Linked DNA regions of Lonchura striata. The protein of the gene in region 2 interacts with the protein of the main gene of each other region in a pairwise test. Links are inferred from orthologs where the notes say so. Each region holds a gene or a part of one and is shown on either strand. Other genes may lie near its edges. The genes, in order: RPL35A and SH3GL3.

What was found.
Region 1: the proteins of SH3GL3 (region 2) and RPL35A interact in a two-hybrid assay, tested with the Homo sapiens proteins (2 studies listed by BioGRID and IntAct). The link is inferred for Lonchura striata from reciprocal best matches to the Homo sapiens genes SH3GL3 and RPL35A.

The regions. Positions count from the first base shown.
Region 1 is NC_134612.1:17,892,485-17,901,194, forward strand, and holds the start of RPL35A (large ribosomal subunit protein eL33), read left to right. Parts: upstream 1-5,214; 5' UTR 5,215-5,286; intron 5,287-5,606; 5' UTR 5,607-5,638; coding exon 5,639-5,649; intron 5,650-6,918; coding exon 6,919-7,071; intron 7,072-7,745; coding exon 7,746-7,890; intron 7,891-8,709; coding exon 8,710-8,710. Other genes in the region: DRC9 (dynein regulatory complex protein 9), read right to left, coding at 875-1,022, 4,989-5,011.
Region 2 is NC_134613.1:15,167,110-15,175,910, reverse strand, and holds the start of SH3GL3 (endophilin-A3), read right to left. Parts: upstream 3,816-8,801; 5' UTR 3,754-3,815; coding exon 3,709-3,753; intron 3,664-3,708; exon of another isoform or gene 3,469-3,663; intron 1-3,468. UniProt on the Homo sapiens protein: Implicated in endocytosis. May recruit other proteins to membranes with high curvature.

The DNA.
Region 1 (8,710 bases), on a different chromosome or scaffold from region 2:
CTTCCTCTGACATTCTTAAGTGGTGCATTAGACAGAGTGAACATCATTAGATGTCAAAACTCAGATCCCAGGTTTTATTTCCATCCTGGTTGTGAACATTTTCTTGAGTTCACCTTAAAAAGGTTTCAAGCCTGCTAGAACTGGAAAGAGCCTGCTGTGTCACTTATAGACCTCAGTACTTAGAGCCATTTACCCCTCAGGATGGCCCCATCCTGATTCCTAAGTCTAACAGCTACCAGAAATGTCACCACACCTTCTTCCACAGCAATAAACCCCTGCCTGAGCATTAGGAATTCTCTGTTCTCCATATCTCCATATCTCCATATCTCTGCCCAACCATCTTAGCTATGATGCCTATTAGAAATCAACTAATAATTAATGATCACTGAGAAAGGGTAGTTACTAATATATTTTGAAGTGCATCTTTCTTAATACATTGTGGGAACAAAAGGATCTTTGGCATGGACTTAGGGAGGAATAGAATTAACCTGGTTTTGAGTACTTTGAAATAACCTATACATTTCTACTTTCAAAATAGCTCTGCATCTACAGAAGAACCTACATATGTTTTGCTTCCTTTTCCCCAATTCCTTCCTTATTGTCTAACAACTGAGATTTTAAAATCATAATCTTAGGAACCTCATCTTGGATCAGTAGAGTCCTTTGCACAAATTCATAACCAAGGCTTCTCAGTGATGCTGCAATATAAATATTAAAATTAGGTCACTTTTATTGTGTTTCTTCACCCAAGGGTCACGGAATAACAGAAAATATATTTGAGTTAATTTGTTTAAAACGCTGATTAAAGATACAAAACCAAGACGAAGAAAAACAAAAAGATATGATATACATCTGTTTAAGCAGTGGCACATACATGGTTGATGTCTGTCTTGTCCTCATGTGGAACTGGCATGATATATCCAAGAATTGCAAGTTGATCCACACAGTTCTCCAGCACAGCACTAAACCTCAGAGCTTCTACATGAGTGATTTTTTCCATTTGTTTAGTCTCTGTGTTCTTGCTAGGAGGAACAAAGATAAAAGATACCAATCAGAAAAATGCTGTGGTGTTATTAATGTTAGTAACAGTAGTTTAAATGAAAGGTAGACACAAAAAAGCCTTATTTGCAGCCTTACATATACTTCCCTGGCTTTGTTTATAACCTTCCATACACTGTTTATAAGAGGAGCTGTGCTCTGCTAATGGCTGCATTCAGGGACAGTGGGAATGTTTAGCTTTCACAAAACAAAGAGGTCCTGGTCCCTCCTACAGCAGGTCTGGGTAGAGAGGCTGAGAAGGGGATGGGTATGGAGGGCACAAACTGGGTGAGGTACCTCATTATTCACTTCAGGGGGAGCAGTGGCTCATCGTGGAGTTTGGGAAACAACAGAAGAAAGGTGCCTTTTTAAAATAATAATACTAAAAAATCCACATCCTATAAAATCTCAGAGGGTGAACATTCATGCTCTAATCATTCCTCAATATTACTGTGTAGCCTTCACACTTTTATGATCCCAGTCCGCTCTCAGCAGGAATTGTTACCATCTTAAGATGCTGAAAGTTAAACAAGAACCAATATCTGGACTGAATAAACAATCTTAATTTTCTGTATTATTTTATTTTAACTTGCAATTCGAACATGAAACTGCTCTGAAATACACTTAAGCACCCCTTTGCCTTGCCTACAGATGAAATATTGTGAAAGCATATCTAAGGAAAAATGAAAATTCACTATTAATCCAGAAATACCTAAGAAAACACCTGCACAACAATGGGAAAATTCTCTGAGAATTGTAATGGTTTGATATGCCATTGGACAATCCCTCCAAAGCCTGTACATACAAACCAGGTATTTCTTGTACAACATGTAGCACAACTGCAGTCTGAGGTGGTTGAGATCCTGAGTATCAACAACCACTAACAAAATCTTAATTTGGCTGCTCTACCTACAACTGGATTTGTGCCATCTGTAAAACCCTTGCATAAACATATCCTAAGCCTGCAAAATATTACAGCCCAACCTGCAAGTATGCCAAGGAAACACATCAGGCACTCCCTGTTAGCATAAGACATGGCCATATTCTATGAATATTAAAGAGGTTTGGATGCAGCTGTGCTCTGCATCACTGGAAATCAGTGATATTTCACAAGCAAGTGTTTAAAAATATACATACTTGCTATAACCTCTCTGAAGCTGTTATAATTTGCCCTCCTCCTTTTTTTTGTTGTTTTTGTTGAAGAAAATCTGTAATTTACAGTTGGACCGTGAAGTTAATTTCACTTGGCAGAAAAGAACCACTTTTCAGTGCAGGTTTATTTGATGTCTGTTCGTATAGAATAGGTAAAACAAACAAATGTAACTCAGATTCCACACATTTATTTCCTGATGTCCCTGTCTGCTGCAGGAAGTCGTTTAATGCAACACATGTTGAAATGTGCTGAGAGAGGACATGGCTCTCCCTGGGGATGGGATTAGAAAGTGCACAGGGATTGCTCCCAGTAAATCCACAGGAAGGGCAGATACCAGGGAGAGACAGAGGTATTTAAGTTAAAGGATAATACTGCTCTGGGTAAAAGGAGAGTAAACGCCCCTAAGCCAGGCAATTATGATGAGGTTTCTAACTCCTGAATGGAAAATACAGAACAGCCTTTCAGCCAAGGTAATGGTAGAGGCACCCTAATTTATTTCAAGAAGCTTGATTAAATCATGGCAGAAAAAGATAACAGCAAAGTAGTGATTCTGAATATTATCAGTATGTTCACTAGACTTGTATTGTTTGTAACCACTTACATCTAATTCCTCTGAGCAGGGCTTTTAATGGTCACCTAGAATGAAGAGGAAAGTGATTTCATCCCTTTGCTTCTGAGATTTTTTTCTCTCTTTTATCTTAATTATAAAAAAAAAGTTTAACAGCTTGAGACAGGAATCTGATAAAAGCATTAACAAAAAAAAAAAAAAAAAAGAAAGGCAAATTATCTGTATAATACACTAAATCCATCACTTTTCTTGTCAACCTTGGAATCAGCTATAGAAGTGGAGATGCAGTATTTTTACATCAAGAAAGTCAGGCAGTGTCTCCAGTCAACAGGCACTAATAAAATATTTTTCAATGCTTTACTCATTTTTATCTTTTTCAGAAATCCATAATCCATATTTTGAATCTAAACAACCTAGGAATAATCTATTACATGTGGAGTCATAAAATATAACTAGTCTGCTAAAAATATGATGAAAAAAGATGTGTTGGGAGATAGCTGTGACATGATTACAGCAGGATTTTTGGAAGAAGAAATAACATGTGCAGCTCTCATAGGAAAAAGAGACTTATTTGGAAACAAAGGAGGATGCAACAGCTTTTCCTCTTTTCTGTCAGCAGCTTCTGACCAGGAGAGAATTAACTCAGGATATTAATATGTTTCAAGAAAGCTGGCGGCTGGAATGTTTCTCTAAAGCCCCTTTGCTGCTTTGCTCCTCCTGTGTATCTTCTCTTACATTCACATCCTTGCTCAGCAGATCCCTGTGCCAAGCCAGTGGGGTCTGGGCTTATGTTAAGTTGGACTTGAGAAGGAAACCACTGTCTGGGGCATTAGCAAACACTACAGATATGAGCTGCTTGCTGTGGATTTTAGTGCCAACACAGTGCCCCTCAGACCATCCACGGCATCACCCTGCATTGCTGTGTTTGCTGAACTCCCTCATTAAACTCTATTAATAATTTTTTTTAAAGTATGTGAAGGATTCAACTTCCCCCATGAGTTTTGGATGACATTCTTTCCCTGCTGATATAAAGGGAAAGAAAAACATATCAAGTAATAATTTTTAAAGCAAGTGTATAAAAGGTCTGGTCTCCTGTTCCTTTGGGGATTGCAACTTCCTCTGCTGTGTGAGAGTCCTGGATGTACATTTCTCCCACCCTGCTGCCTGATAAAGGAAAGTGGATTCAAAAGCAGCATTTTGTGCAGCATTCCTTGTAGTCAGAAGATACTTCATTGAATTCCAGTGATAAAATGCATAGCTGGCAATGTCACATCTCCTTTAGGTCTGTTTGGCAAATGACTGGCGAAGAGAGGTTCTGAATATCCACAGGAGCAGCAGCGGAGCCAGAAATCAACTTCATTTTTACCAAAGAAAAGTCTCTTGGGAAGCAAAATAGGTGTGGCCTTACCTTACACAGCTCTGCCTCCGGCTAGAAATATTAGGACAGCAAGGTGCTCATTTTGGAAAAAAAAAAAAAAAAGCGGGGGGGGGGGGGGAAGGGCAAGGAAAGGAGAGAGGAAGGGGAAGGGAAAGAAAGGGATGAAAAGAGAAGGAAAGGGAAAGGGAAAGGGAAAGGGAAAGGGAAAGGGAAAGGGAAAGGGAAAGGGAAAGGGAAAGGGAAAGGGACCACCAAGATTCCTTAAGGTTTCCCTTCCCTTCACCTTCCTTCCCTTAAATCACTTCAAGCGCTCTGAAAATGCACCAGAATTTCTGGCAGTGTGAGGGAAGTGACAGAAATCGGGATTGAATAGCCCTGACGTGAGCAAATGGGTAAGTACATGCTTCCAGATCTTATTTAGTAAAATAAAGGAATGTGAGACTTGGTTACAGGGATTTCAGTGTCGAAATATGTTTTCTGCCTCCAAGGCGATATCAGAAGTAAACTAAATGCCGAGATGATTAATTGACTCAGGGTGAGAACATCGGACGGGCAGGGCCGGCCGGGAGCCGCCCCGAGCACCAAGGGCTGCTCTCTCCTCCCGCGCTGCCTCTCTTCGGGCTCCGCGGCCCGTTTTCATTCGCCCTGCCTAGACCGACCCGGGCTCCCCTCAACCTCTCACCGGGATCTGCCCTTATTTCCCCCGATCCCGGTCCCGATCCCGGTCCCGGTCCCGATCCCGGTCCCGATCCCGATCCCGATCCCGGTCCCGATCCCGGTCCCGGTCCCGGTCCCGATCCCGGTCCCGATCCCGATCCCGGTCCCGGTCTCGGTCTCGGCCCCGCCCTCACCGGGACGCGCCGCTCGTCTCCATGGCAACCACCGCGCTCGGGGCCTCGCGGGGATGGCCCGCGGGTGCCTGTGCAGCGGGGCTGTGGCCGCCCCTCCTGGGATCGCTCTTGCGGGGATCGCGGACACGGGACACGGGACACGGGACAGGGGACACGGACAGGGGCCGGGCGGTACCTTCCTCAACCCGGTGCCGCTCACTCCGGCAGCGCTCGGGCCGCCCGCTCGGGTCCTGGCCGCGCATTTCCCGGCAGGCAGCGGGGCGCGGCTCTCTTTCGCCGCCATCTTGGGGCGCTGGGGGTGAGGCGGAGCGGGGCCGCGGCCGGGAGCGGGGCCGGGAGCAGGGCCGGGGGCGGTGCCCCCGCCGTAGGGCCGCCGGCGGGCGCGGGGCTCCCGGGGCGCGGCGGACGGCGCGGTTTGGGGCGGGGACAAGGCGGGATGGCGCCGATGCGCGGCGGATGGTCCCAGTGGCGGGTTGGGGCCCTGGGCTGGAGCGGGGCTGAGGCGGCTGCTGAGGTGCGGAGCGGAGGCTGCCGGGCAGCCCCCGGGTGCTCGGGGTCTCGCTGGCCGGGCCGGGTGGAGATGCCGGCCCGCGGCTCACGGCTGTGTGTCGTTTCCAGGCCTGCCGGGACCGGCTCTGCGGGAGGACGCCATGGCCGGGAGGTGAGTGAGGGCCGGGCTGGCGCTCGGCTCGCTGCTGCAGCGCTGTAGGAGCGTTCCTGGGAGCGTTTGCTCAGCAGGGCAGTGAGCGGTGTTGCGCTGCCCAGCGTCCTGCTGGGCCCTGTGGAACGCCCGCAGTTGTGTGTCCCTGCTCTGAAATCTCTTGAGCTGGTTCTAGTTGCTGTTACGGTGTGCCACGCTCTCCTTGGCCTGTCAGTAAATATCAGTGTGAAATTTGTGGGTTTGTTAGCTCAGTGTTTGTTAATCTCCAGTGTGCAGTGGAGCTTTGACATAAACTGTTTCCTTGAGTAAAGGGAGCAACATGTTTTTCCCATGGGTAAATTTTCTGTTGTGCTGCCGAATTTTCTTAAAGGATGTAGGGATTGAGTTCGTAAGTGAAGGGATTAAATGTGAATACTGTGGAGTTGCCTGGAGAAGCTGTGGCTGCCCCATCCCTGGAAGTGTTCAAGGTCGAGCTGGGTGGGACTCTTGAGCCTGATCTAGCGTGAGGTGTTCCTGCCTATGTAGGAGAGTCAAAACTGGATGGTCTTAAATGTCCCTTCCAACCCAAACCCTTCGATGGTTCTGTGAATCCCAGCTTTATGTCCTAACATTAATGTGTGGAGTTTGTCCTGTTGCACGTGTGGCAGGTAGAACTGGATATCCCAGTTGGATCCTGCTGTATCCCAGAGCAGGTGCTGGATGCCCCTGGGCCAGATGTGCTGTGGCTGCTCGGTGTGTGGGACAGGTCCTGTAATGACCTTACATGGGCAGTGCAGGTGTCCTGAAGAATTGCTGAGGAGTTTGTGTAATGTCTGTGCCCAGTGGATGTCAGGCTGTTGCTCTGGCTCCTCCTTTGAGGCTACAAATCAGGGTCAGTTCATACCTTCTATAGCAGTTACTGCAACACGGGAGATTTCATGTGGTGTGTAGAAAAAAAAGTAATGTTTACTCATCAGTGTTAGTAGACATTTAGAAATAATATCTGCTAATGCTGGAGTATTTGAATCTTAGTATGAAGCCAGTATTGTAGTGCCAGGAGTTTATGACAAGCAAAAAGTGTAATATTTTCATAAATACTTCAAGTTCCACATACTCAGCTTTGCTCTGTTCATTGATGTAAGTATTTGCAGTGATTTGTAAAAGTCAGCTATTTCCTCTGCTGATTTCTACTGGTGTGGAATTAGTTCCTGCTGAAAGAGCCTGTGATTAGTTTTTATTTTTGTTATTTGGAAGTGAGTTATAATTTTCAGGTATTTTCCATGTCTTTAGGTTGTGGTGCAAGGCCATTTTTGCTGGCTACAAACGTGGCCTCCGAAACCAGCGGGAGCACACGGCCCTTCTGAAAATTGAAGGTGTTTATGCCCGTCAGGAGACAGACTTCTACCTGGGCAAGAGGTGTGCCTATGTGTACAAAGCTAAAAAGTAAGTAATGTTGTATTCTTGTGCTGAACTAGCCAATGCTTGTGTTGGTTTTGTAAATGCTAGGAGATCATGATGCTACATGATATGTAAGAGAGCAAATGGGATGAGAAACAAGTTTTGCCTAAGACTGACAAAAACTGAAAGTTGGGTGATGGAGTAAATTGAAGTGGGTGAATTTGTGTTAAATACTTTGAACTGTTCAGTTACTTAAACAGTAGAGTGATTTTGTGAAGCCTGGGTGAATTTGTGTTCTGACTTTCATGTGCCCATGTTTGAGCACTGTCTGTCACTTCTGCTCTGCTGTCATTGATAGACACCTTGGGAACAGCTGCTTATTGCTTCCACTTCCTTTTTTTTTCTTGACTGCTGTTGTTAGTGTGCAGAATTATCTTGAATAAAATTGATCAAACTGGTATGTTAGCAAAAGTGTTTTCCAAATTTTTGAGCTTTGTAAGCTGTTAATAGTTGTCAAGCTGTAATTACACCTTTGAAAGGTACAGTGAAAATCCCAGGCTGGGAAAATATCACAAGTAAAAAAAAGTGGACATTGGTCTAGTTAAAGATGGCTGTGGAGCTAAATTATTGAAGTGCTGTAGAGAGACCACATTGTCAGTGCTGGGTACAGCAGAGCTGTGACTGCCCTGCTGAGCTGTTCTTGGGCTCCTTTTCCCCAGCAACACGGTAACCCCCGGAGGCAAACCCAACAGGACACGCGTGATCTGGGGGAAGGTGACCCGCGCGCATGGCAACAGTGGCATGGTGCGTGCCAAGTTCCGCTCCAACCTGCCTGCCAAGGCCATTGGACACAGAATCCGGGTGGTAAGTGGGTTTGGTTTAGCAACAAGATACTTATTGGCAGTTTTTGGGTGCCTTCTAAATTCCTTATAATATGAGGGAACATTTGAACTTTGCTTTTGTTCTGTTGCTGTTGGGTGTTCAGCATGGCTCAGTGACTTTGTTTTGGAGCCTAGAGAGGCTTTTTGCTGCCTTCCTGTGCTGAGGGGGTTTGTCTTGTTATCAGGGGTTTGTGTGCTTGCTCAGGTTGTGTGGAAAGGCTCTTAAAGTTCCAGGACTCGGCTCCTGTCTAAAGCTGCCTTGATTTCTTTTCCACCATCTGTTCTGCATATTTTTGCACCCTTCTACTCCTTTACCTGTTTGATTTTTCTCTTACTTCCCAAATGTTTTAACTGAGAGCAGTGCTGTCCTGTCATGGCCACTTCCACCTGTTCCCACTGTTGGTGTTTTAGCCACAGGGCTTCAGTGGGACTATCCGTTTAGGTCTCTCACCTAGAGTTGTGATGTAATATTTTCGTAGTGATGTTGTCAAAAGGAATACAAGAGGGGTGTGGTCCTTTCTGTCTTTCTCCTGTGCCTTAGAAAAAGCACAGTAGGAGCAGCACAGATAATTCCTGAAATCCAGAGCCATGGGAACTCTTGTTGGTGCACAGGAGGGCTAGTTGCCATGGTGTCTGTGTCACCAGTGAAGTGCTCCTGCAAGTCATTCTCACACCTCTTCTGTATAAACTGGGGATTGCTTTAATAGCAGTTGAAGAGATTCATGGTCTAGATTGTAACTGCAAAACTCATGTTTGAATACAAGATTTCTAACGTGATTCTGTCTGGTTTTGTGTTTTACAGA
Region 2 (8,801 bases):
CTTTTCTAAACTCTAAAAATACTCCCAGTACACACCAGAAGATGCAGTCCTCCCACCACTTGGGTTATCCCACATGCACAACCACCACGAGAACCAGGCCTGCAGAAGCAGCAGGCAGATAAACACACCTACATCAAAAGCCTTCAAACCGAAAACAGAAAAACAGCTCCGATCTGGCAGAGCCTGAAAGCAACAGGACACAAACTCTCACTGCAAACAAAACTTCACTAAACTTTATTTTTAAAAATAATAATTTTTTTAAAAGCTGAATTTCATGGGAGGTGCACATTAATCAGCCCTCAGAAAAAGCCTGCCCTTGCTTATCAGCCATTGAGAGGTGGTAAGACACTTCATAGGTTCTTCTTCGGATTTCATGAGTTAAATGAGTTATACTCAAGGAATCATCATTGATATTTAACTAAGAGAATGGAAGAGATTCTCACTGAAGTACACTTTCAATTGAAGAACTTTAATATAAACTTACAACTGAAGTAGAAGGCATAGTAAAGAAAATTCTAAGAACACGAAGGGCGTTATCACTTCATAACAGACACAGAAACTTTGAGATCCATCTCAGCTTTGGGTCTGTCCATTCCATGACACCAGGGCAAGCAATTATTAGGGGACAGATAATGGAGTAGCACTGCAGCTTTATATATTGGAATATACAGAAAAACAGCACAAACTCTACTCCCTCTGGGTACAGACCTCACTGCAGTAAATTTTGACACTGTAACCCAAGAGCTGTCTTCTAGATCTCACTGCCTGGCACTAGATCTAGATCTTTAACTAGAACATGCAATTTTCAGTGGAAAAAAAATACAACCGGTTAAGAAACTCTAGGGGAACACCATCCGAACCATCCAGAAATTCCAGTGAATTACTGAATTACAAACAGACAGACCCATGGTGACTTTTTACTACACCAGCCATGTTTGCAATAGCTTGTCGTGCCTGATTTTGGCAAGGGCATTAGTAACCATACAAAGTTAGCTGCTGACCTTTAATAAAGCAAACACTCATTTACTTAAGTGTAACTTCAGACAAACCAAGCTGACAAGGATCAGGCAAACATCCCAGAAACCTCAACTGCATATAAAATCGTAAGTAATTTTTGTTTTCCTGGACTCCTGCACTTAGAATTTAAGCCTACACACAAAGGTAATCACCCCTAGTCAACAAAAGCTTTACATAAAGACACACAGGCTTTTTACAAGCACAAAACTGAAATGAAGTTTTTTGCAAAAAAGTTCAGTGGTTCAGTAAGAGCAAGCAGAATTTAGAATAACTCTATTTTTTTTTACTTTTATAACTATGTATCTATACTACTCTATATTTCATTAAAATAGTAATTTCCATTTAACAGAAGTCTATTTTAGCATGGAAATAATATATATGGATCTTGTCATTTTTTGGATATTTATTCATATTTCTGAATGAACTATTAAATACAGACTGTCTGAATACACTTGCAGATTTTTTATCCTTAGGTTCTGTCAGCTTTCAGATATTATTCTTATTCCTTAATCACGTGTCCTGACAGTAGTCTCATTCCCTCCAGTATTCCTCAATGTCCTCTGGGACATTTGCCAGTTTTTGTCATCTGCCCCCATTCTCTTTTGGGAACACTAAAGGAATTAATTTCATTCTTTCTCCAAGCAATGCCTGTCTCTGCTGCTAACAGTTACCATTGGCATCTTTCATCCACTCAATACACAAAGGTCTCTGTCTCCTTAAGTGAGCCCACAGTACTTGGAAATTTAACAAATCTTCTGTAGAGAAATACCTCTCATGCTCTGCATTTGCTTGTTTTAGCATTTTGTAAAATAATTCTTCTAAAAGATGGAATCCCAATATTTCCATTTTTCATGTCCCACCTTATTTTTGTTAGTTCAACAAGTTAATACATCTAGGCATGACTGTGTCTCTGTGTGCCAGAGATAAGCACTTTCATTGTTTAGACATGGCTGTTTTGATCCACTACATATATATGCTATTTGTTATTTTCTCACTACTATTTTGCCCAACATCTTATCTGAATTATTACAGAATGAGCTTTTAAGAACTGTCTTCTATTACCTTATGTACCAAAAAAAATTCCAGTATCTCATTCCTCAACTTTAATTTTCTAGTAAACACATTTCCATAACTACAGACTTTTTCAATCAATTGACTTAAAATTTCTTCCTCAGTTCATTTGAAAATAAGTTGAAACTTTTACCTTTGACCCATCCCGAGAAGAAAAACATTTTTATGAGTTATGCATTGCAGTTTCTTACTGCATTAAATATTGGAAGTCATACCACAACTTTCCAATAGATGCAGTCAAATTCAATATATTCTACATCTCCTTTCTGCCATTACTACTACCTTTATCAGATCCCACCCATCCTTTTGTTTGTTTACCTGACATCTGAGCAGGATTAAGTAACCTGCACTGTTACCAGTTGCTAGACAAGAGGGTTCTTCCTGTGGTTACCTCTCAAACTTCCTCACTGAAGTATCTTCAGCTTCCTGAGTTACAAGCTCACTACAGCAAAGGCTGCACCACTTACCAGCATCTGATATGATGCAAAACAAGGCAAAATCTTTAATAAATTGTCCTTGGATTTGTTTACTCTACAGGTCCAGCATTTTCTCAAAGTAACAGTGAAAATTAACTAAAAGATACCAATTCACAACATTTTTCAGGATCAGTACATTCCTTGAAAGAGAGCACACTACTGAAACATTAGATAAAAATATTTAGCATCTCTGTATCCAAATAAAGTGCAGATTCTGCACTTGGGCTGCTGACAAGCTACATAGCTGAAGGAAGACCTAGCAAGATGACAGCCAAGCACTCAATGAATCTTTATTTTCCTCACTCTCACCAAGACAAAAGCAGCTGTAAGATTTTACTGAACAGGTTACAGCCACTAATTTCAATATTACCATTATCATTAATGACAACCAGCAGATATACAGATCTCTTTGATATGGAATGAGCAAGCAAAGCAGCTGAGACTTCCAAAAACCTTGAGTGGAAGAATCCCACTGCAGCCATGTCCTGAAGCCCCTGCATCAATGCAGGGTTTGCAACTGGCACCATCCTGCCATGGAATCCAACCAGAGCTCCTGCTTGGCAGAAAGGTGCTTCTCTCTTAAAAGAAACGAGGTAAACTATTAAAGCAAAGCACATATAAAAGAGAAAAGAGATAAAGAGGTCAGAAGAAGATGAAGAGCCACTCTAGAGAAGAGTACAGCATCTAGAAAAGGAGGGAAAACTCTAGAAACATCTGATACCCTCTACAGGACAAATACATGACATTCCAGGTAGGATAATAAACCAGCAATTCGTGGCAGATCAAAACAATGAACCCTTTAGGGGAAAGCTGCTACTATACAGGCTGTAGCTTTAACTGAGGCCTCAAAACACGAACACGAACCCATCACCAAATAACAAATGTTAATAAGTAAAGGAAAGACCTGAAGCCCCAAGCAAAATAACTGGACGGGGCAAGCTTCTCCTGTGAGAAGAGCACAGGCAGCTGACAGGCAAAAGCACAGGCTCCGGGCCCGGAGGTAACGCTGGAGGAAACACTCCCCGGAGGTGCCAGGGCGATGCTGCCACAGACGGAGGAGGGACCCGCCGCCCGTGCGGGAGCGGGCGCCGGGCGAACCGCCCATCAGCAGCCAAGCCCGCCGGGCCCCGCCGCGGCCCCGTACCTGGCTGGCTTTGTGGAACTGCTTCTTGAGCCCCGCCACCGACATGGTCCCGCCGCCGCTGCCCCGCGGCCGCCCGGGCCCAGGGCCGCCCGCGCCCGGCAGCTCCGCGCGCCCGGCCCCGCGCAGCGCCGCCCGCGCGCCGCCAGCATCGCCCTCCGCGCGCCCGGCCGCCGCCGCCCCATTGGCCGCCGCCCGGCCACATGCAAATGAAGCGGCAGCGCCGCCCGCCCATTGGCCGCTCGCCGGGCTATGCAAATGAGGCGCTGGGAGACGCCCACGCTGCGCTGTCGCATGGAGACAGCGGCGGGAGCCGGGCGGGGGCTGCGCCGGCCCGGCGAGGGCACGGCGGCGGCGGGGAGCACCACAGGGCACCACAGGGCACCACAGGGCACCACAGAGCATCACAGAGCACCCCTCCTGCGAGCAGCATCTCCTGGGCATCCACAGGGCACCACAGAGCACCACAGAGCATCACAGAGCACCCCTCCTGCGGGCAGCATCTCCTGGGCATCCACAGAGTACCCACAGAGTACCCACAGAGCACCACAAAGCACCACAGAGCACCCACAGAGCACCACAGAGCACCCACAGAGCACCACAGAGCACCCACAAAGCACCACAGAGCACCCCTCCTGCGGGGAGCATCTCCTGGGCACCCATAGCGCACCCACAGCACTCTGCCACGGGGAGCACCGCCTGGGTACCCACAGGGCACCCGCTGGTGGGGCGCACAGCCCAGGCACCAAAAGGCCAGTCAGCTGCCCAGTTTTATCTGTCTTATTTTGAATAAGGCTGAAAATGTCTCATTATGGATCTGTCTCATTTCTTGTGGTTCAACGTAGCATCTCTGAGCTCATTAACCTCAGATCCATTATTGTAGGTGGTAATTTAATTATAGCTCTTGAAACATGAAAGCTCTTGCAGCAGTCCAGAACACACCTGGCTGGTTCTATGCACCAGAAAATATCCACTTTGTCGTGTGACTCCATACCGGCAGTGATGCTGCTCAGGGTTCCAAAGGCACAGTCTCTCACTCAGAAGAGCAGATAGACTAGAAAGAGCTCTGCTGAAAGGATGTTTTAGCTGTTTGGTTGGTTGTTATGTGAGGGATTTACAGATTATATACTGAAATATGACTGTGTATCAGGAATGTGCTGATATAAATTAGAGATGTGGTTCTGCCCTCATGGTAGAGCAATTTCAAGCGATGCTTACATTCTGGGGAAGATAAGCTCTGTGATAATGCTGCTTGATCCTGGCTGTAAGGATACTTGGGAGTTATGATTCAGCTGAAACTTACGCAGGGACCTGGGGAGCAGTTCAGAGATAAGCTTTGCTGGCTGCAGCAGGACTCTGTGTTACTCACTGTCATGCTCACTGCATTTTGATTGGGTTAGGAGAGAAAAACATTTTCAGAATATGATAGAGTTGCTTCTTTAGAATAGCAAAGAAAAAAAAATACAAGAACTTTCATACTGGTTGTCACACTGTAATTTGGGAGAAAGAAATTGCTATTCCCACCTCTTAGAAAAAATCATTATATTACTAAGGAACAAAGTGCAAAGACAAACACATTAATGAGTTAAGGATCTGGCTGTTACTTGACAAAGGACTCTCTGTAGAGGAGAGGCAGAAGAGAAAGCAAAGAGGAGAGCACCAGTCAACATTTGCTCTGGAAGACAAACTGTTAGGTGAAGTTCTTCAGGGATTTGGAAATGTTCGAAAGAAGCCTGGCATCACCATGTTATCTGGTGCCACCTGTGTCTAGGGAAAGAGCATTTTTGTCATCCTTACAAGTAAACATGATTACACCACAGACACTTGATTTCAGCAGTTGTTTCTCCTCCCTGATTGAAACTGGCAGCAAGATGTTAACTGTCAGGGCCAAATTAGTTATGGCTTAAATTAGTGACATGTTTTAGACACCTCAGGTGAGGAAATAAGGCCTAAACTAGGATATTGGAGCTCCATAAAAGGAATTAAAGCAAGCTCTTAGTGTACTATGGAATTAGGGAGACAAGGCAGCTTTGGCTAATCTTCAGCTTTAGGAACAGCTGGACCAGAGCAAAGAAGGAAGGAGTTTGAAATAAATCTCTGTGGAGGGGAATGAATGGATTATGGAGTTGCTGTGGGTGTTAGCTGTAAAATTGGATTAGATAAAGAACTTTAGTAAGGCTGCATGTCTACAACTTCTCTTTTTAAAAAAAAAATCCTTTTTGTAGCCCAAGGATAGCAGCCATGTTGTCTGATGAAGGGGTACAAAAATTTGCAAGTGGGAATTTCACGCCATAGCCTAATTGCTCAGTGATACAGACAAGGTGAAAACCTATTTAATGAGCCAACTTGTGTAGTCAACTGATGACTTGGTGGAGGCACCCTGAAATACACTGGTATTCAGTTCAGTAACAAGTAAAAGTTATAGCTTGTAGCCAGCAATACACAGTGGCTAAGGAATGTCTAGAATGTCATAGTTTTACCACATGGAAAAAAAAAGTATTGCAATTTGCTGAATGATAATCCTTAAGATTTATGCAAAGTTAGTGATTTAGTCTATAAAATAAGAGAAATGAGAAATACTACAAAAAAACTTGGCAAATGGTTCAGGTAAATGCTGACATGATGGAAAAAAAGCTTATAATAAAGTTGTTAGAAGACAGGCTAGGGCAGAGTGAAAAATACTTCACAGAGGGGACCTTCAGGGAAAAAGTTCTAGATGTCTGGGTATTCAAGCAACAATTACACTTCCACTACTCTGGAAACATTAAAGTGCATGAGAGGAATTCATAATGGCTCCAACATGTTACTGAATCATGTGTGCTAAAATGGACAATGAAATTTGCACAAACTGAGAACTCCTAATTGGGCTCAGATCAAGGTAGTGACTAGAAAATATGCACTGCCTGCTCACATGGGACAACCGTGCTTGAAAATTGGTCTGGTGAAATTTAAACAGGAGAGAATATTGAATAAAAGGTTAAATTTATAATACACTTGCATTTCAGTGTGGCTGATACTATGGGAAAAACACTATCATCAGAAATTCAATCTATAGATATGACAAAAAATCTCATAGGTGATTTGTTTTCAATGAACAAATCATCTTGTAAGAGCTGAAATTGCAGTAGCAGCCACATGAAGTATTAGGTTTCCAGCAAAATGGAAACTAGAGGTACTTTTTTAAATTATATAGAGGCACCTTAGCATTTGAATTTACTTGGAATTTGATGCCAACTACATTCACATTCATTTGAATGTCTCTTAAAAATAATGAAAACTGCCATTGAAATATAATCTGGGTCTTTGGTGGTTACTGCCATAAAAGAAAACAACAAAAAAGGGAGGAAAGATGAGTTTGCAATGAAATTCTATTGTATTTGATTCTGGGCCATGCTGACTACATTATTAAAGCTTTTTTTCTTTTTTAATATTTAGGCCTTAAGGAAAAGATAAATTACTGTGTATCAGCTTATCATGAAATACATTTCAACACAAGGCATTAGAAGGAGACTTTGGATGTACTCACCTGATCCAGGGCAAGAGCAACTACAAACAACAGTGATCAAGACTCTCAGACGTGGTGTGATATCCATTAATGGTCTGTAAGGATTATCTGTATGTAATGACAGTGCAGATTACCTAGTTAGTTTTCATGTTGTCAAAACTGTAGCAATAGGCTGTGGTTTTGGTCACAGGAAGAGAGCATACTTGCAAATTGTTTAGAAAACAAGCATTTGGAAAAGATGATCCTCTAGGAAAATGATGCCATTTGAAAGAACAGTTGGCCAATAACCCACTCTACAAAAGCAAACTTGTAGAAAGCCTTCAAAATAAAGCACTAGTTTGACAATTCTAGAAAAAGGAAGGGATTGCTAAACTCGTGACACTGATTCTTAAGTTTTGACCCAAGCAAAAGAAGTAATATAAAACAGTGTTCCAGAGTGAGTTCCAAAGGACTAGAACACTTGGTGAAATCAGTCCCAAATGTCATCCATTTCATTATTTTATAGATTTCATACAACAAACTTGGGAGCTGACACTGTGAAAGCAATGCCAACAGCAAATGATCCCAGTAACAAGAACAGAAAATCCTTCTGCAAAATATGCCCGGGATGGTAAGGTTAAATCATGTGGCTGTTTTAGCAGCCTTTCTATATATTTAAATGAAATAATTATTTATAATTAAACAAAAAGATATATAATTGGTCACACACCAACATTACACTTTTGTTTCTAGAACATAACCAAGCAATTCTGCAGATCAGCGCATTCTGCGCAGATCAACTGGCTCAGGTATTTCTGAAAGGGCTTTACATTGCAGTATACATTTCATAAGAAATCATGAGAAACGGAAAAGAACAGACAGTTTTCCCTCCACAGCCAGCACTGGCCAGCATTTGGAAAGCTCCTCATTCCAAAGGGATGCTGCTGGCAGTTAGAGCAGGAATATGTGACCCTGGGGCCAGCAGACACTCTGGCTAACCTACTGCAGTTGTTTAGGATGCTTATGTTTGCTCCCCAGATCTTCTAACTAAATGTAACTAGTGAATTATTTTTGGCATATGTGACTGTTCTTCTCAAGCTGACTTTCCATATGTGTTGCTTTACCATTATGCAGATCCTCGCTTTTCTTGTCTCCTTCCTGTGTTTTTATTCCACATGCTTCTCCGTAATACTGCACATACCTTCTGTCATCACTTTGCTAAATCTCTGGCTGTTGTTCTGCAAGTGTCAATAACAAAACAAAAGTGTGTTAGGTCTTATGCCATTAATAAAGATCATTCTAATTATGTGTTTATTTTACAAAGACATATAAATGATTCAGGTAAGTTCAAGATCTAGATAGAGATTTTTTTAAAGTTACATATGTCCATACCATAAGTAGATACTCTAATTTTAAAAACTCAGCAACCTACATTTTTGTGTATGGAGCTCTGTCATTCTGAAGTTTCTGAAAATTAGCAGTCCTAATCTTGCAAATTACACCATGTGGATGGACTCCTAGACAGCTCCAACTTGGAGATCTTGTTACTTTTAGGTGCCTATGTTGTTGCTGGCATCACTAAAACAATAAAGGTTTTGTAATTAACATATAC